Caenorhabditis elegans: one gene and its partners. The protein of the gene in region 4 interacts with the protein of the main gene of each other region in a pairwise test. Each region holds a gene or a part of one and is shown on either strand. Other genes may lie near its edges.

Region 1 (3,969 bases), on a different chromosome or scaffold from region 4:
TATAGCGGTTCCTCTTTTCCTCATAAAACCCCGGTAATGGGCCTACAGCTGTCCGTCAAAGAGAATGCAGATATTATTGTTGCTCATCGACCGTTTGTGACCGGAAATATTGCTTATTAGTTAGTGGGAAAGAGGGAAAACGATGGGACAGCATAAAATTAGATTTGTACGTTTAAGTTAACGTTTTACGGAGGTGGCCGCCAAACATAAACAGCCGGAAAACTAGAGAGGTAATACGGCAGGAAATTAAGTATTAGTAAGTTGTTAGACGTTGATAACAAACAATAGATTCGCGTTGTTCATGAATCGGTTGTGAAAAATATAACGATTGTTGACATTGTTCACTTTGCAAATATATTTTTCAGAATGATAACGATGTTTCAACATGATATTTTATTGAAAACTTTTTGAACAAATTTTCAAGCAAACATAAAGGGTCTGAAAATTTTTTACAACTATAAATATTAGTTTATAATTTTTAAAATATTTCAATATGTAAAACAAAGTTTTTTTGCTCATAATAGTCTATAAAAGAGGAACCCAGACTATTGCAAACTCGGCTACCGAAAAATACAAATTTAAACTCTAATTAAGTATAAATGCTCAAGAAATTAAAAGCTCGGAAAACGTTTACATTTTTTTAGTTCCTATAAAGCTCAAAATAAATAAAAAATTTACTTACTTAGCATTTTATTATAATTTTTAGTGTTTTGAGAATCTGATTTTTGCGGATCTGGGATTAAAAAAATTAGGTACCAGTTTAGTACACCTGGTCCAAAAATATTAAACCCCTTTTTGCCGATAATAGGCTTAAGGTTAAAGTATTTCAAAGTCTAAAAATGCAAATCTATTTCATGGTTTGAATAAATTATTATGTTTCAAAAGAAATGCATGGAAAATGTACTGGAAAATGTTTTTGTGTTAGGTATACTACACAAGTACCAAAAGATGTTACCAGTTAATCTGAACTGTACGTGTGAAGCAAGTTTAAGATCACAGCCAGGAAAATCTAAATGCAAAATGAACTATCAAAAGTAGTCACTGTTACTGAACTTTTCAGATAGTGTTTTCCATTGTGCTGATTTCAAATCAGTGATGTATCAAATATTAAAACACACACAATGTACCTATTAGACCTCATCATCTTTTAGTCAGAAAGCTGAAACATCATTCGGGCTGAAACTCATTTTTAGCTTTAGTCGCTAGTTTTTGCACGCCGAAGCAGCATGCTATTTTTGATTTTTTCTGCGGTTTTACACTAGCATAGCTAGTTATATTGAATTCTATTCAGTGCTTTTTTATCTGAAAATCATTGCTCGTTTGGATCATGTTGCATTGCGTTGTTACTCTGCTTTTAGGAAAAGCCTAGTGTGCATAGTTTGCATTCGGCAGTTTCGGGATTTGTCTGAATTGTTTTCTTCTCACCTGAATGCCTCATTTCCGAAACTTTTGCTTTTCGTCTTTTCCTCGAAGCTGCTCGTTTTCAGCTTCATCGTCCCCCATTATCACACTTGATTGGCTTCAAAAAGGTGGATTGCACGGACCACACTTCTCAATACAAAACCGCGTGGTGTCATCCATTCTATTCCCTTCTTCGACACGCCCCGCCTTCCACTTCGCATGGGCGTGACTAGACCAATCAACGAGTTTGCGACGTTTAGTGACTGCAGGCAACAGGACCCTTCCAACCCACTCATTCACACTAAACTACTGTCTAAAAGTCATTCAATTTGACTATTACAAAACTTATTGTATTGTTACATCATCTGATAAGGTTATCATAACAATGTCAATGTTGGATCTCCGTCAGTTTCTGATTCCTGCATTCTTTCTAGACCCCACCAACCAACTTGCTGCTCAGAGTTCTTCCGGTGGCGCGAAGATAAACTTAAACAGCTCTTTTCGCATTTCTGATCTGCTTGATCCAACTTCACACTCAACCAACGAACCAGGTAATCCATTTTGCCACCATTTTCCTAAAGTTATTGCATTTATTGTATGTTCGTTCAACCATCTCTAACACTTTAATCTACATAGACTTCCATGAGAATGTTGAATGTACAACTAACCTGAAAAATGATATTTAACGGATTAACGCTCCAGTAGTCACATGGACGGTAATCTGTAATAGTAATAGGTCAACCAATTATGATCCTTTGTTCTCCTCTTACCTATACAAACAGTTTTCTTTATTTATTTGTTATTGTAGATCCATCTCCTACCTCCATTAATTCCTCGGAATCGCCATCATCCCCTAGAATTGGGAGCCCGAATACCGAAAGATCTGTGAACGAGAGTCCGACATGCGTGGGATCAAAAAAGGCTCGGAAGGCGAGAACTATCTTCACCGACAAACAACTTCAAGAGCTAGAAAACACCTTTGAGAAGCAGAAGTACTTGTCTGTTCAAGATAGGATGGAGCTGGCTCATCGAATGGGGCTAACAGATACTCAAGTAAAGACATGGTATCAAAATAGAAGGTTGGTCGGCTATATTCCTTAATTAGGCAAACTTTTTTTCTTTTCTCGAAAAACAACAACGTGTGGCTCTTTGCGCCAGCAGTTGGGCGAGAATTGAGTCTAAACACGCCACTTTGTGTTAATTGTAGTGCATTAGCGAGAAGCTTCACCCCCATCGAAATTTATCTTAATCAAAGCTCTCACCCCTCCTCAATTTCTTTGCGTGCGCCCACCAATTTTATTTAGTAGTGTCATCTTTTTTCCGCGCCCTCCCCCACTCCTTTCAACCACCCCACGGGAAACGGCTCCACTGTCATTATCCAATTTTTGAGATTGGAGCTGCTACCCTGGGAGGCGCAAAAAATTTGAGAAAAAAAGTGCTTGAAATGAAAAAAAATGTTCACGGTACTTTCAGAACCAAATGGAAACGACAAGCCTCTGTTGGTATGGATCTTCTTCACGATGCTGGAAATATGGCCGCCGTTCAACAACTTCTAAGAACAAATCCATATTGGGCAAACTACTTATCACAGAACACTTCAATGTTTGGAGCTTCTAATAATCGCCCTGTATTCAATTCATTAGTCGTCCCAACTTCTTCAATGATTCCTGCTAGCAACTCTCAAAATTCTCTACTGCAATTTCTAGCATCGCAAAACGTAAAAGATGATATCAGTTCCCCAAAAGAATCACCATCAGTATCTCCTGATTCTGTAAAAAATGCATCTGTTTCTAAAAAAGAATCAGATGAGGATGAATAATACCTTTCCACCTTGAAGATTGTTTTTTTTTCGCTTAGAGTATTTATCCGGTTTTCATCACGCAAAATGTCAAATTCTCAATTTCTATTGTTTTTCTCTTCTATTTTTCCTGCTGAGCCACTTTAATTTTGCCCTCATTCTCAAAATCCGATCTCTTAATTTCTTCTGTAATGTTTCACTTTCAATGTCTTGGTTATTATAAAATAATAAAATGCAATACAGTCAACGGACGCTGGAGTGTTTTCGCTCAAGTAACAGAACATTGCGAATCATTCCAAATGACAAAATTACGGTAGCGATTTCCTCACACCAAGTGCGTCAATTAGCCTTCTCATTAATAGACAATTTTGGGGGGAAGCAAAAAGTCGTCCCGCTTCCTCTCCACCTCAAACACTCTACGTTACTCGTCAAAGTGGAGGCCTTCCAACTTTCATAGCTGAGTAGATTTTCCGTAACACCTTTACAGTTGAAGATCGTCTGCCTAGGAGTCGAATAATTCGTCAATTATAGCGACACCTTTTTCGAACAATGATGCCACCCAATTTGAGAAAGGAGGTTAGAGACGCGTCCTGTACAGTTTGTCAAAACCTCAACCTTCTTTTCATTCGTCTTGTTCAATTGTTTAGCAAGATGACAATTGTCGAAGGAGACCGCAGCCGTGTATTATTGCAATTGAGTCGACTTGTTAACGAATTATTGTTCAATCATGTCATCGTTTCAGGGGTCGTTGCGAGAATGATTTATTGAAC
Region 2 (3,721 bases), on a different chromosome or scaffold from region 4:
AACTTATCAAGATAACTTGATTTTCTGTTCAATCAAATATTTGTTCTTACGATCTCCTTCAGATCCTACTTGATACTGAGTCAACGTTGCCAATGAGCTTGCTGAAATAGAATCAGTGAGTAAAGTTTCAAGTGGTGTCAGAGTGCTCCATCTCGGTATGATCTACATAGATCTACAAAAAACGCGGGAGCTGATTTCGTATGGCTAATAACGTGCTGACGTCACATATTTTTGTGCAAAAAATTCCTGCATTTTTTTGTAGATCAAACCGTAATGCGACAGTGTGACGTTTATTATAGAATTTCTCACGAATTGTGTCCGAAGTACATTGCGAGTTGACTTTATTGATATTATTCACTAGATTAAATATTAGAAACACCAATGAGAAAACCAAATTTCTCATTGGAAATTTTTTTAAAGTGAAGGCATTCTGGAAGAAAAATGCCGATGGGCTGCCAGTCTCTAGGCGACGATCCGCTGGTTTCTAAGCGACAAATGAATAATTTTAACGATCGTGTTTTGTTGTTGTGAAATTGGAAACATCAGCATTAAATATTCCAAATTTTTATTCGAATTCTATAAAAAAGTTCCGAATTCATAAGGAATCGACAGTTTATTCACAGATTCTTCAGCTTTTCGTCGTATTTCGTCCATATTTCCATGCTCAATTGCAAGACGTTTGACGTCACGATGTTGTCGTTTCTCTTCAGCTTCGTGTTGCCGAATATGAGCCTGAAAAAAAATATATTTAAATTTTTCCGTTGAACCAAGAATATTCGATGCTTACCGCAAAATATGGAGCTCTTTTATACTTTTGATGACAAATTGGGCATTGGAAAAGAATTGGCTTCGGCAAACACCCGTCCTCGTGGCGTTCCAAATTGAATTTCCGAGAGAAACGTTTGAAACAAGTCTGAAATATATTTGGCATATTAATTTTGGAAAATTACAAAAAAACTAACCCTACAACAATAATCTTCAGTATCTCCTAAAAGTTGAGCAGCCGTCCGGATTCGCTTCGTTTTTGTTTCAGAAGATGTTGAAGGTGTTTCCTTTTCATAGCGAAGTGCAATTACTCGTTTTGTGCGCGGCTGAAATGAAAAATAAAGTTAAAATATAAATATTTTCAAAATATGGGGGCCACTATGGCCAAATTCATTGGTGGGCGGCAATTGCCGTTCGGCAAATTCGGAAAATTGCCAATTGGCCAGAAGTTTTCAATTCTGGCAATTTGCCTATTTGCCGAAAATGTTCAATTCTGGCAAATTGCCGGGTTTGGAGGAAAATTCAATTTCGGCAATTTGCTGATTTGCCGGAAATTTCAATTCCGGCAATTCGCCGATTTGCCGAAAATTTCAATTTCGGCAATTTGCTGATTTGCCAGAAATTAAAAAATCACTTAAGATTCAATTTTTTCCATTTATTTTCAGAATTAAATCCAATTCTTACCAAAGAAACACTATATCTAACATGTTCTGTATCAGCTGGATGGTCTCCGGGCAATTCGACGATATAAGGTGTTTCGTATTTCTCACGATTCATCAATTCTCGATTGAATCTCGATTTTTGATCCAAAACTCCTCGGATAAGCTTTCCATCTCTTAGAATATATTTTTATTCCTTTTTTGTTTTTAATTTTCAGTGAGTACCTTGAAATCGCCGTGATTAGAAGTTGAAATCGTTCCAGATGCTTCGTTGTTACGATTTTTCCACCTTCACCGATAAATTTTCTGAGAATTTCTTCTCGAAAACCCGGCAGCAAGTCCATCTGGAATTGAACCTAAAAAATATTGAAAATTTGAAAACCAATTGAATACAATATAAGTATAGATCTGAAAACTTCATCCATTCATAAATAAGTACTAAAACTGGAGAGGAATTGGTGGGGTACATTTTATAGATGAATTCTACGAATGAAGTTGATGAACTTTAAAAAAAAGATAAACGGCAAACAAATAGAGAATATTGCAAAGAGAATTATCGTAAAATTCAATGTTACAGACCTTGGTTTAAGGAAGAAGTTTTAAGACAGAAATGATGTAAGAATCGGGAATCACTGATGATGAAGGAAAATTGATGAAAACGGGGCGGAAGGGCGGAAATCACAGTGCATGAGACTACACTTCAGGCATATTGTTCATTGGATCCTGGACTAGCGGGGACATGAGAATGGGGGAATAATTATTTGGAAATAATAATGATAATAATGTTAAAGATGTTGTAAATCGGTGATCGAATCACCATTCAGCTTCTCCGGTACACTTCTGGAAGCAGTAATCCTTTTTGTCGATGTGCATAATTCCATCCTTGAGCTGGAACTTCCACTTGGTACGGGCACGATTCACCTGAAAATTGCAAGATTCGACAATTTAACTTATAAAATAAATAGAATTAACCTTCTCGAACTGGCACATGACAACATTGTCCGCCTCGAATAGCATCGTCAAATCTTCATCGTCTGATTGATCATCTTCAGAATTCAATGGTTCCTCTTCTGCCACTTGATCTCCATCTTCAACTTCACCATTTCCCATGCGATCAGCGATTCTTCGAAGTGGATCATCATCATCGTCAGGCTCATCTTCACTGGAAGAATCAGACATTCCACCGCCACCTCCGTCGAGTTGAAAGTCTTTCAATAGTGATCCCAAGACTTTCATCGCTTTCTTCTCACTTGCTCCACTTCCACGGACTCTCAATGAGCACTTTGTCTTTTTTGGAGCAAGTTTTACAGGTCCACTAGGTCCTTCTCCGTCTGATTCGGATCCCACATTTCCGTCCATTTGATTCATATGGGTAAGTTGATTGCCCTGTTGAGGCTGCTGCTGCTGAGCCTGTTGTGGCTGTCCTTGATGAATAATTCGATGCTGTGGAATCTGATTCGGCATAATCGACATTGGAATATTCTGACCATTTGGTTGCTGCACAACGAACACTTGTCCCGGTTGAAAGTGAATTCCACCTTGAAATTGTGGATTGAACATGCGAACTTGAGATGGATGTTGCTGAAAAACGATGGTTTAGTTTTGTGGTTTACGTAGGAGTCGTGCAAGATTCTTGACGATTTTGAATGTATAGACCCAAAATGGGCTAAAAAAAACGAATTTCATAATGAAACTGCGAAATTTTTGAAAAATTGCACTGATTTCAGCTAAAATCTCGAATTTTTCCCTTTTTCCGTGTCACATCTGTCTGAAATTGAATTTTTTGGAATTATCATCCCTATCATTTAATTTCATCGATTAAGGTACATTTAAAGCCTGTCGGTTACCTATCGGCTTTAAATGTACTTTAATTGGCGAAATTACATGAGATAAACCACCCAAATCTGCAATGAAGGATGATAATTTCAAAAAAAAATCAATTTCGGACCGATGTGACAGGGAAAAAGTGGCCAAAATTCGAGATTTTTGCAGAAATTAGTCAATTTTTTGAGCAGTTTCGTTACGAAATTTGGAAATTTGTCCTGCTGGAGTATTAGTCGCATTTAAAAAAAAACAATAATTAAATTAAATAACCGTTGGCTGGCCAGTGTACGCCATTCGAATCGGAGCATCTCCAATGTGTGCTGCGTGAAGAGCCGACAAAGCTCTCACTGGCTGCTGAGCAACGGGTCTCTGTGGAGGCATCGGATTCGGACGAACGGCACTCGGCGGTACGTGATGCTGTTGGCGTGGTGCCGGTGGTGGTGCATTGCTCTCCAAGTCGACACATCCACTCG
Region 3 (4,080 bases), on a different chromosome or scaffold from region 4:
CGCAGCGACTGGAAACATTTTTTTTTGAAATCATCGTTAAATTTTGAGTTTACAGCATGATTATCTTGAGTTTTCAACTCCATTTAGGTATTTTAAAATCGATGGACGAAGAGATTTTTAAATTTTTAAAACCAAATCTCGCCGTAGTCCATGGACTTTAAAATACCTAAATGAAGTTGAAAACGCAAGATAATTACATTGTATACTCAAAATTTGACGGTGATTTCAAAAAAAAAATTGCCTTCAGCCGTTACGACATTGACAAGTCGTCGGTCAAATTTGAAATTTTAACGAATTTTTGGCCATTTTTTGAGCCGTCATAATTTTTTTTTGAGAAGTTTTCAAAAAAGTTTCATTATGAAATTCTGTGTTTTCAGACAATTTTGAGTCTAATGAAGCAATAAAAAAAATCGACTACACCGCCTATAATACACATGCTCGGAGAGTTGTAAATTTGAGACAAAAATTTTGAAGTTGTGGAATTTCTACTAATTTTGATGTTCTAAAAGGTTCAAAAACACTGAAAATTCAAATTTCGCGGTTTTTTTTCTTCAATTCAATCGAACATCGTTTATTGGGGGCACACAATAATACAAGTGACAAAAAGCTACACAAATCAAGAAATAACATGCTTCTGGTCCTCCTCCGCCTCCTCCTTCGCCGATTTCTGTTGCTGCACAGCGTCCTGCTTGATCTGCTTGTATTTCTCCTTTCTCAACTTGAATCTCCGATTCTGAAACCAAATCTTGATCTGCTCGGGCGAAAGTCCGATGACTGCTCCCAACTTCCGTCGCTCGTCAACCTTTATTGTGTCGCACTGCTCAAATCTGGTTCTCAACGCGTAAAGCTGAGAATCGGAGAACGGAGTTCGAGCGCCTCTCCGCTTTTCTGAAGGAGCTCTTGGATGCTGCTGATGCTGATGATGTAGAAAAGACGGCGGTGGTGGGATGAAGCCAGCGTGATGAGCCACCATAGGATGAGGAAACGAGGATGGGGAGAGTTGTGAGTACTGCTGCTGGAACCAGGCGAAGCATTGAGCTTGGTAGGCTTGAGCATGGGCTTGAACTCTGTAAAAAAAAAGGAATTTTCGGAAGAAAAGCGATCACGGAGATGAATTTTGTTGCAAATAAGCAGTGATCAAATTTTCCAAATAGGGATTTTTGCCGCTGTAAATTTAACATGCCAAAAAGAAGCTACCAAATTTGCCCAATTTGTGGCAATTGGACTTCTTGGAGCTGTTAATTTCAAAAAAAGCAGCTACCAAAATTGCCTAAATTTGGAATTTTGGCCACTGCTAATTGCGAAGAAGAAGCTTCGAAAATTGTTCAAAATTGAAATTTTTGAAAACAGTTAATTGCAAAAAAAGTAGCAAACAAAATTTCCTGAATTGGATTGTTAAGAGCTCTTAATTGCATAGAAGCAGCTACGAAAATAGTTCAGAATGGACTTTTCGACACTGCTAATTGCAGGAAAACAGCTACCAAAATTGCATAAATTTGGAATTTTTGGAGCTTTTAATTGCAAAAAAGCAGCTACCGAAATAGTTCAAATTGGAATTTTCGACATTGCTAGTTGCAATAAATCTACCAAATTTGCCCAATTTGTGCAAATTGGACTTCTTGGAGCTGTTAATTGCAAAAAAAGCAGCTGCTACCAAAATTGCCTAAATTTGGAATTTTGGCCACTGTTAATTGCAAAAAAGCAGCTACCAAATTTGCCCAATTTGTGCAAATTGGACTTTTCGACACTGTTAATTGCAAAATTGCAGCTACCAAAATAGTTCAAATTGGAATTTTTAGAGCTGTTAATTGCAACAAAGCAGCTAACAAAGTTTTTTTTTGCTAAAAATGCCCGTTCGCGGCCATATAGTGTGAAAAAGCTATATTTTGAGTAATTTCCCACTGTCAAAACTTATGGGGTTATTCAAGAAATGTTACTTGCAAAATGTATTTAAATACATGTTTTTAAATGTATTTTAATACAGTTGTGACGTAATTTTTCTACACTTTTTAATTTTCCGACGCTAATTGAATAACCCCATTAAAATTAGCGGTTCTTCACGCATTTCGGTAGAAAAACGTAGTGAAAATCACTCTAAAACGCCCGTTTTGTACTGAAAAGTATCGAAAAAACTTACAACATATCATTCCCATTATGAGCCAGCTGTTGTTGATAGTAAAGCTGATTGGGATCCGCCACGTAGCACGGTGATGGAGCCTGATAGGCCGCCGGATAGGCTGGCGATGAGCTCATTGAGCCCGGAGAGCTGCTTGGCATTGTGGAATATTCCATTACAGTAGCATTAGTAATAGCAGAAGTTGAATTAAGATTCGAAGAAGACAAAGGATAATAGTCACCGCCGTTATTAATATTATAGTTGGATGATGACATTTTGTGTGGAATGAATTGGGGGAATTATAGTGGCTATTCTCCAGCTGGGGAGGCTGTAAATCTAGGCGGAGCATTGCTGCCTAGGTAGGCGGGGAGGCGAGAAGGTGCGATTTTGTTTGGCGGGAGACATGACCGGGAAAAGGTGACACCGGAGAGGTGAGATACCTGGGAATTGGGTGAGATTTTCCGGCTGTTCTTCAGAATTGTCTGAAAATCTGGAAAAATGTGAAGTTTTTCCACGGAAAAGCGAATTTTCGATTGATTCTTGTAGTTTTTCGTACAAATCGGACAATGCCAAAATTTGGCAGTTTTGGTACTTTGTGTTGGATTACGGTAGAAATTTTGGTCTGAAAAGCTTATTTTTAAGCCAATTTCAGTCAAAAACTGCAGTTCCGGCAATTCGGCAAAAACTTGCCGGAATTAAAAATTTCCGGCAAATTTGCAAGTTGCCGGAATTGAAAATTTCTGGCAAATCGACAAATTGCTGGAATTTGAAATTTCCTGCAAACCGGCGGAATTAAAAATTTCTGGCAAATCGGCAAACTGGCAAACTGCCGGAATTGAAAATTTCTGGCAAAATGGGCGATTTGCCGGAATTGAAAATTTCCGGCAAATCGGCAAATTGGCGGAATTGAAAATTTCCGGCAAATTGTCGGAACTGAAAATTTCTGGCAAAATGGGCAATTTGCCGGAATTGAAAATTTCCTGCAAACCGGCAAAAATTTGCCGGAATTTAAAATTTCTGGCAAATTGCCGGAACTGAAAATTTCCTTCAAACCGGCACATTGCCGGAATTGAACATTTCCGGCAAACGGGTAAAAACTTGCCGGAATTCGCCGAATTTTCCGAACAACAATTGCCCGCCTACTTAAAACTTTTAAAAAAGCAAAAAAGAAAAAAACAACTGACATAAAAATTATCTGATCAATAAGATATTGGAAAAAATGTTGAAAATTGCAAAAAAATATATCGAATCTAGGCATATAGTGCTCCCTAAACTACAACCTACAACAAATTTCAAATAAAATATACAAAATTTTGCAAAAAAAAGAAAAAATATAATTAAAATTCAAATTTCGAAATGTTAAATTTGAAAATTTTAGAGTTTTTCGACGAAATTACAACAAAAACACTCTGAAAATTATAAAAATCCTGGATTTTTTCAGGTGAAAGAGGCAAAAATCATCGCAATGACTTGTACACACGCGGCTCTCCGTCGAAATGAGCTCGTGAAGCTCGGCTTCCGCTACGATAATATCGTAATGGAAGAAGCCGCTCAAATTCTTGAAGTTGAAACATTTATCCCATTGTTACTACAAAATCCACAAGACGGACACAATCGACTGAAACGATGGATTATGATTGGAGATCATCATCAGCTGCCGCCAGTTGTACAGAATCAGGCATTCCAGAAATATTCGAATATGGAACAATCGTTATTTGCGAGATTAGTCAGGCTTAGTGTACCAAATGTGCAGTTGGATCGACAGGGAAGAGCCAGGGCTCAGTGCGTGTTTTTTTTTGGGGAATTCTTGAGAAATTCTACGTGAAAATTAAGAATTTTACGGTTGAATTTACCGAAAAACGATTTTTCGTGCGAAATTGGCAAATTTTCATATGAAAATTGCAACTTTTCACAAGAAAAATTTGGCATTTGAGCTCAATTTGCTGAAATTCAGATTTTTTTCG
Region 4 (4,391 bases):
AGGTCGACTTTGCCGATTTTTCGCAATTTCAAAATTGAAAGAACTATAGTTTTTCACAAGAAAGTCTAGGCCATAACGGAGAAAATTGAAGGAACGGAAAGAAGAAAAACAGTTCAAAAAAGAAATTGCGTGGCCTAGAACGTGTGAAACCTCGGCCCCGCATTTAGTCTTGGTGGCAGAAAGAACCAATTGAAGAAACTCCGCCACCGTTTTTTTTCGGCCACGTGGCAAGTTATGCTCTATGGTGGAAAAAATTTAAACTGTAAAAACCATAAAAGTTTCTTAAAACATTGCCATGAAAAATTGAAGTCTCGTGGCCGCGAAAAATACAAATTCGGCCATGGTGTTTTTTGGAAATTTTTTAAAGGAAAAATTGCTCAATTTTAAAGGCCGCAAAAAAACTGGTTTTTAAAGTTAAAGTTATTTTTTCAAAAAATTGGCATGGGCAATAGAAGACCTATTTTTTGTGAATGCCCGCAGAAGAGCATTTTTGCCTGCCTGCCTACTTGTCTGGAAGATAATTACACCGTATAAAATTTATTTGATTATGTCCAAATTCAGAAACAAAAAATCTTCTATGCAGAAAAAATTAACAGAAAAAGTGATCATGTGACCCGAACTAAAGTATAACAATTTAAAATTAATAATTAAATTTTGCAATTAAACTACATTGATTTCCTGCTCAATATCCTCTTGCTCTTCTTTCTTGACATTTTTCAAAGATGGCGGAGGTGTTGGAAATGACATTGGGGAGAAGCATGGAAGTCCAAATGGGAATTGGAATGGTACAGGCGGGAAGTTCCCGGTGGCTGCCAAATGGGAAAAGTAGGGGAGACTGTAGAAAAGGGGATTGATGGCTGGTGGTGGTGGAATCATTGTTGGAAGGATCCGTGGCATCAATGGAGGTGATACTGACACGGTTCGTGACTTTTTTGGCTGAGGAGAAGAGACTTGAGATGAGCTTTCATCTGTTGTAGAGTCGTCGGCGGATGGAGAATTTCGTTTTCTGTCTGATTGGCTTCCCTCTCGGAATCCTTTGGCAAATGGGTTGAACTTGATTTTCAGCTTGATTACTGCGTCGTTCTGGAAGTTTTTGAATTTAAGAGTTACATTTTGATTGAGCCATGGAAAAAAGACAACTTTCTGAGATGCCTCGCTGTTTTCAAGAAAATAAAAAATTGTAGATTAAATAATGCAGTTAATTATTTGCTGTTGGTCTTTAAAACCGCCTGAGACAGTTGCAACAATCGGAAAAACGGTAAAAAACTGCCGGCAAACTATCAAAACTTTTTTCAAGCTATTTTCAGCTTTCAGACAATTTTTGAGTGTTTTTTCAATATTTTCAATTAAGAGAAAAGTTATTTCAGATTTGAAAAGTATACATCATTTTATAGGTCAAAAATTTCATGATAGCTCTCTTACGGTTTTTGAGGAAATCTTAATAAATCAAGAATGAGACTAAAAATTTATATTAATATATTTACCCATTTTACTTTAATTTCTAATAAAAAATTGCAACAATTATTTAAATATCCTTTTCTTCTATTTGTTTTGTGTCAAACCCTTTCACTTCACAGAAAACCCAAAACAATACCCCTCAAACAATTAGTGTTCGCACCCTTCAGAAGATGTGGCTCATAGAGAGCCACACGTGTTAATGCAAGTGTTAATGCGGGCTCAATAGGCAAAGTTATCTAGATCCCAAACAAGTGTTACCTGGTACGCTGTAACTGCAATAAATTCGGTATAAGTGAGTCGAACAGAAGTGACAAGACGGGTCGATGGTTGTGGGACGCTGAATGGGCTCTCCGATGGGGACTCGTAGATTGACATTACTGGTGTGTATTTGTGCATGCTGTGAAGGAAAATCTGGAAGAAATTGGGAAATGCTGAGGTTGAAGGAGAAAAGAATTATGGCTGTTACCATTGATGCATTTGTAGATTCAGCGCAATTTGTGATTTTTACACGATCGAAGCAAACTGGGTTGGTCATCCATTCTCTGGAAAAAAGTTACTATAGGGAGATATACAGAAAATCAGATAATTTATTTGAAAAGGATTTGATATTTGATATTTAAACCGCCCGTAGTTTTATAACAGTTTGAAGTTAACATGCTCAAGTTGGCGATGTGTTACATTTTTAAGTAGTTATAACTTGCTTGAAACAGTCATTACAAAAAAGTTGTCAATTGGAAAACTGTAGAAAATTTTATAATAAACATTTCATCAGTAAGCAACTATTGTATTTTTATTTTCCTTTGAGATATTACAGTTCTAAATTGAAATTATTTTCTGATTCCCTGCTGAAAAATAGGTACTCCAACCCTGACTGCGCTATCTAATAAAAGATCAACTAACAAAGCATTCCAAAAAAAAACTCACTTTCCACTTCTAACTCCATCCGCATGCCACAACTTCTTTGGCTCCCTGTGCTTTTCGGCTTTTCCCGACTTGACCCATTCTCCACTGCTGAACTTGTACCGATGATCGTCGGATGGCTCAATATGAAGCATCATAGCGTAGAGCTTGTTCGGCGTGAGACCTCTGACCACATACTCAAGCTTCGGGAACATTTTCCTGCCGGATTTTGTGACAATCATCTCGTTTTTATGATAATGGAAGAGGTTCCACAGCTTATCCTGATCTTCTCGAAGTGTCACATACACTTGATCTGTCATGGTTTTTCTCTGGAATTTCATATTATAATAAGGATTCAATCAAAACGGGCAAAAACTGAAATATTGGTAAATTGGAAAATTCGCGTAAAAGTGAATACTAAACAGATTGGTGGCTGAGAGTGAGCCTGGGGTCTCACCTGGATGCCACGGCCCCACTCCTGCCTTCCCGAAGGCGGACCGCGGGGTACGGTAGCGATAACACTGGTAGGCGTGGTTTTTCGATGTTTGGCGGGATGCTAAAAAGGGGAATTGTGTGAAGGAATAAGTTTCAAAGGTGAAAATAGACAAAATTAAAAGTTTGAACAGCTGTAACTTCCCAAAAATCAATAATACGAGGGAATTTTCAATTGACATTTTGCTCGACTATTTGTCAGTTGACAACTTTTTGATAAACCAAATATTTTTTGAGATATGTGGGATACTTCTCAACCTACTTTATCCCAACTTTCTCTCTACATACTTTCATTTCTGTTAGAAACACTTTTTGACAAATTTTTTGGTTGAAACTTCTTTGTCGTTTGAAGAATTATTATTAAGGAGTTCTAAAAAATGTTCATGATACTCCAATCAAAAATGTAATCCAAAAACCTCATAACTTCCCCAGTTTCTAGAAAATCGTCATCGAATGCTCCAAATGCTCCAAGTTTGTGATTATTATTTTATTGGTTCAACGATTTAAATATTGTGCAGTCCCTCTTCATCTTTCTCCAAATACTTGCTAGAAATGAATCTCCGGGGGGATATTTTAGGAAACCTGTTCACCTCTCTTTATCGTTTTCCAATCTTTCTACCAAACAATAATAACACGCTTGATTTGTATATAGAGTTCATAAAATTTGTTTAACGACGATTTTACGACGATATTCGATGCCCCCACCACCATCACCACTACGGTAATATTGATAAACGGGAAGAAGGACACGGGCAGGATGATAAATCATTGAGGTTAATTCTCACTTTTACTACGGATATACTGGACGTGACAAATTTTGATTAATCTTGTTAGTGTTCGATGCACCATGTGCAACTGATATCTCGGTTCTTGACTGAAAAAAACATTTGTAGATTGATTTTCTGTAGTTTGTAGTTTGTAGCTCGGTTGCCAGATTTCCCGAAAGTTCCAGGTTCATCTAAAGTGGTTTTACAATTTGCCATTGTTTACAACTATCTCTAAAAACAAGATATCTAATCTCCAGATAATTATTGATTTTCCCTTCAAAAACAAATTATCTGTTAATGCATGCACCATGTTCTCAATCAGGATCATTTTCCTGAATTTTGTGCTCCGACAGTATTGCGGTGAGCCGGCGGCTCCAAATTACATCATCACCAACCAGAGAGTTGTAAAGGGATCCGTCTGGCGCACTGTTGGGTGGAGGAGAAAGAGCGGTACGCGTTTTATGTTGTTAGGTAACTAGAATTGACAGGTGATCATTAGGTTATGGATAGGGAAGGACATTTTATGTACTTGACATGTTATAGTTTTTGGGAACTTTGGAGGGAGTTTTGGGTCAACATTTTAATAGCTTAAATTGCAAAAATTTAATAGCTTCAGAGATGTTTTACAGGATTTCAAATATGACAGATCATTTGTAAGAATTTTCAGTTTATTAAATGTTAAGTATTGACTTCAGGTAACCTTCTTATAGTCTACTTTCTGCATTTTGGAGCAAACTCCTCAGTTTGCCTACATACCTGCCTATCGCCTATAAG

The links.
Region 1: the proteins of tbx-8 (region 4) and ceh-31 interact in a two-hybrid assay, tested with the Caenorhabditis elegans proteins (one large-scale study listed by BioGRID).
Region 2: the proteins of tbx-8 (region 4) and K11D12.12 interact in a two-hybrid assay, tested with the Caenorhabditis elegans proteins (one large-scale study listed by BioGRID).
Region 3: the proteins of tbx-8 (region 4) and ceh-51 interact in a two-hybrid assay, tested with the Caenorhabditis elegans proteins (one large-scale study listed by BioGRID).

What each region holds. Positions count from the first base shown.
Region 1 is NC_003284.9:3,068,125-3,072,093, reverse strand, and holds ceh-31 (Homeobox protein ceh-31), read left to right. Parts: upstream 1-1,671; 5' UTR 1,672-1,786; coding exon 1,787-1,952; intron 1,953-2,209; coding exon 2,210-2,480; intron 2,481-2,537; exon of another isoform or gene 2,538-2,820; intron 2,821-2,874; coding exon 2,875-3,220; 3' UTR 3,221-3,446; downstream 3,447-3,969.
Region 2 is NC_003283.11:5,050,320-5,054,040, reverse strand, and holds K11D12.12 (C2H2-type domain-containing protein), read right to left. Parts: upstream 1,781-3,721; 5' UTR 1,769-1,780; coding exon 1,650-1,768; intron 1,601-1,649; coding exon 1,450-1,600; intron 1,092-1,449; coding exon 963-1,091; intron 914-962; coding exon 788-913; intron 733-787; coding exon 577-732; 3' UTR 551-576; downstream 1-550. Other genes in the region: cwp-4 (Coexpressed With Polycystins), read right to left, coding at 51-101, 310-403; pqn-51 (Prion-like-(Q/N-rich)-domain-bearing protein), read right to left, coding at 2,238-2,345, 2,397-3,005, 3,519-3,721.
Region 3 is NC_003283.11:18,872,444-18,876,523, reverse strand, and holds ceh-51 (Homeobox protein ceh-51), read right to left. Parts: upstream 2,392-4,080; coding exon 2,138-2,391; intron 1,068-2,137; coding exon 617-1,067; 3' UTR 542-616; downstream 1-541. Other genes in the region: emb-4 (Intron-binding protein aquarius), read left to right, coding at 3,558-3,898. UniProt on the Caenorhabditis elegans protein: Required for mesoderm development, including specification of muscle and coelomocyte precursors.
Region 4 is NC_003281.10:10,345,871-10,350,261, reverse strand, and holds tbx-8 (T-box transcription factor tbx-8), read right to left. Parts: upstream 2,688-4,391; 5' UTR 2,679-2,687; coding exon 2,383-2,678; intron 2,001-2,382; coding exon 1,925-2,000; intron 1,870-1,924; coding exon 1,717-1,869; intron 1,084-1,716; coding exon 661-1,083; 3' UTR 522-660; downstream 1-521. UniProt on the Caenorhabditis elegans protein: Transcription factor. Involved in the control of early morphogenesis of the intestine, hypodermis and body-wall muscle. Involved in regulating expression of vab-7. Appears to have partially redundant function to tbx-9.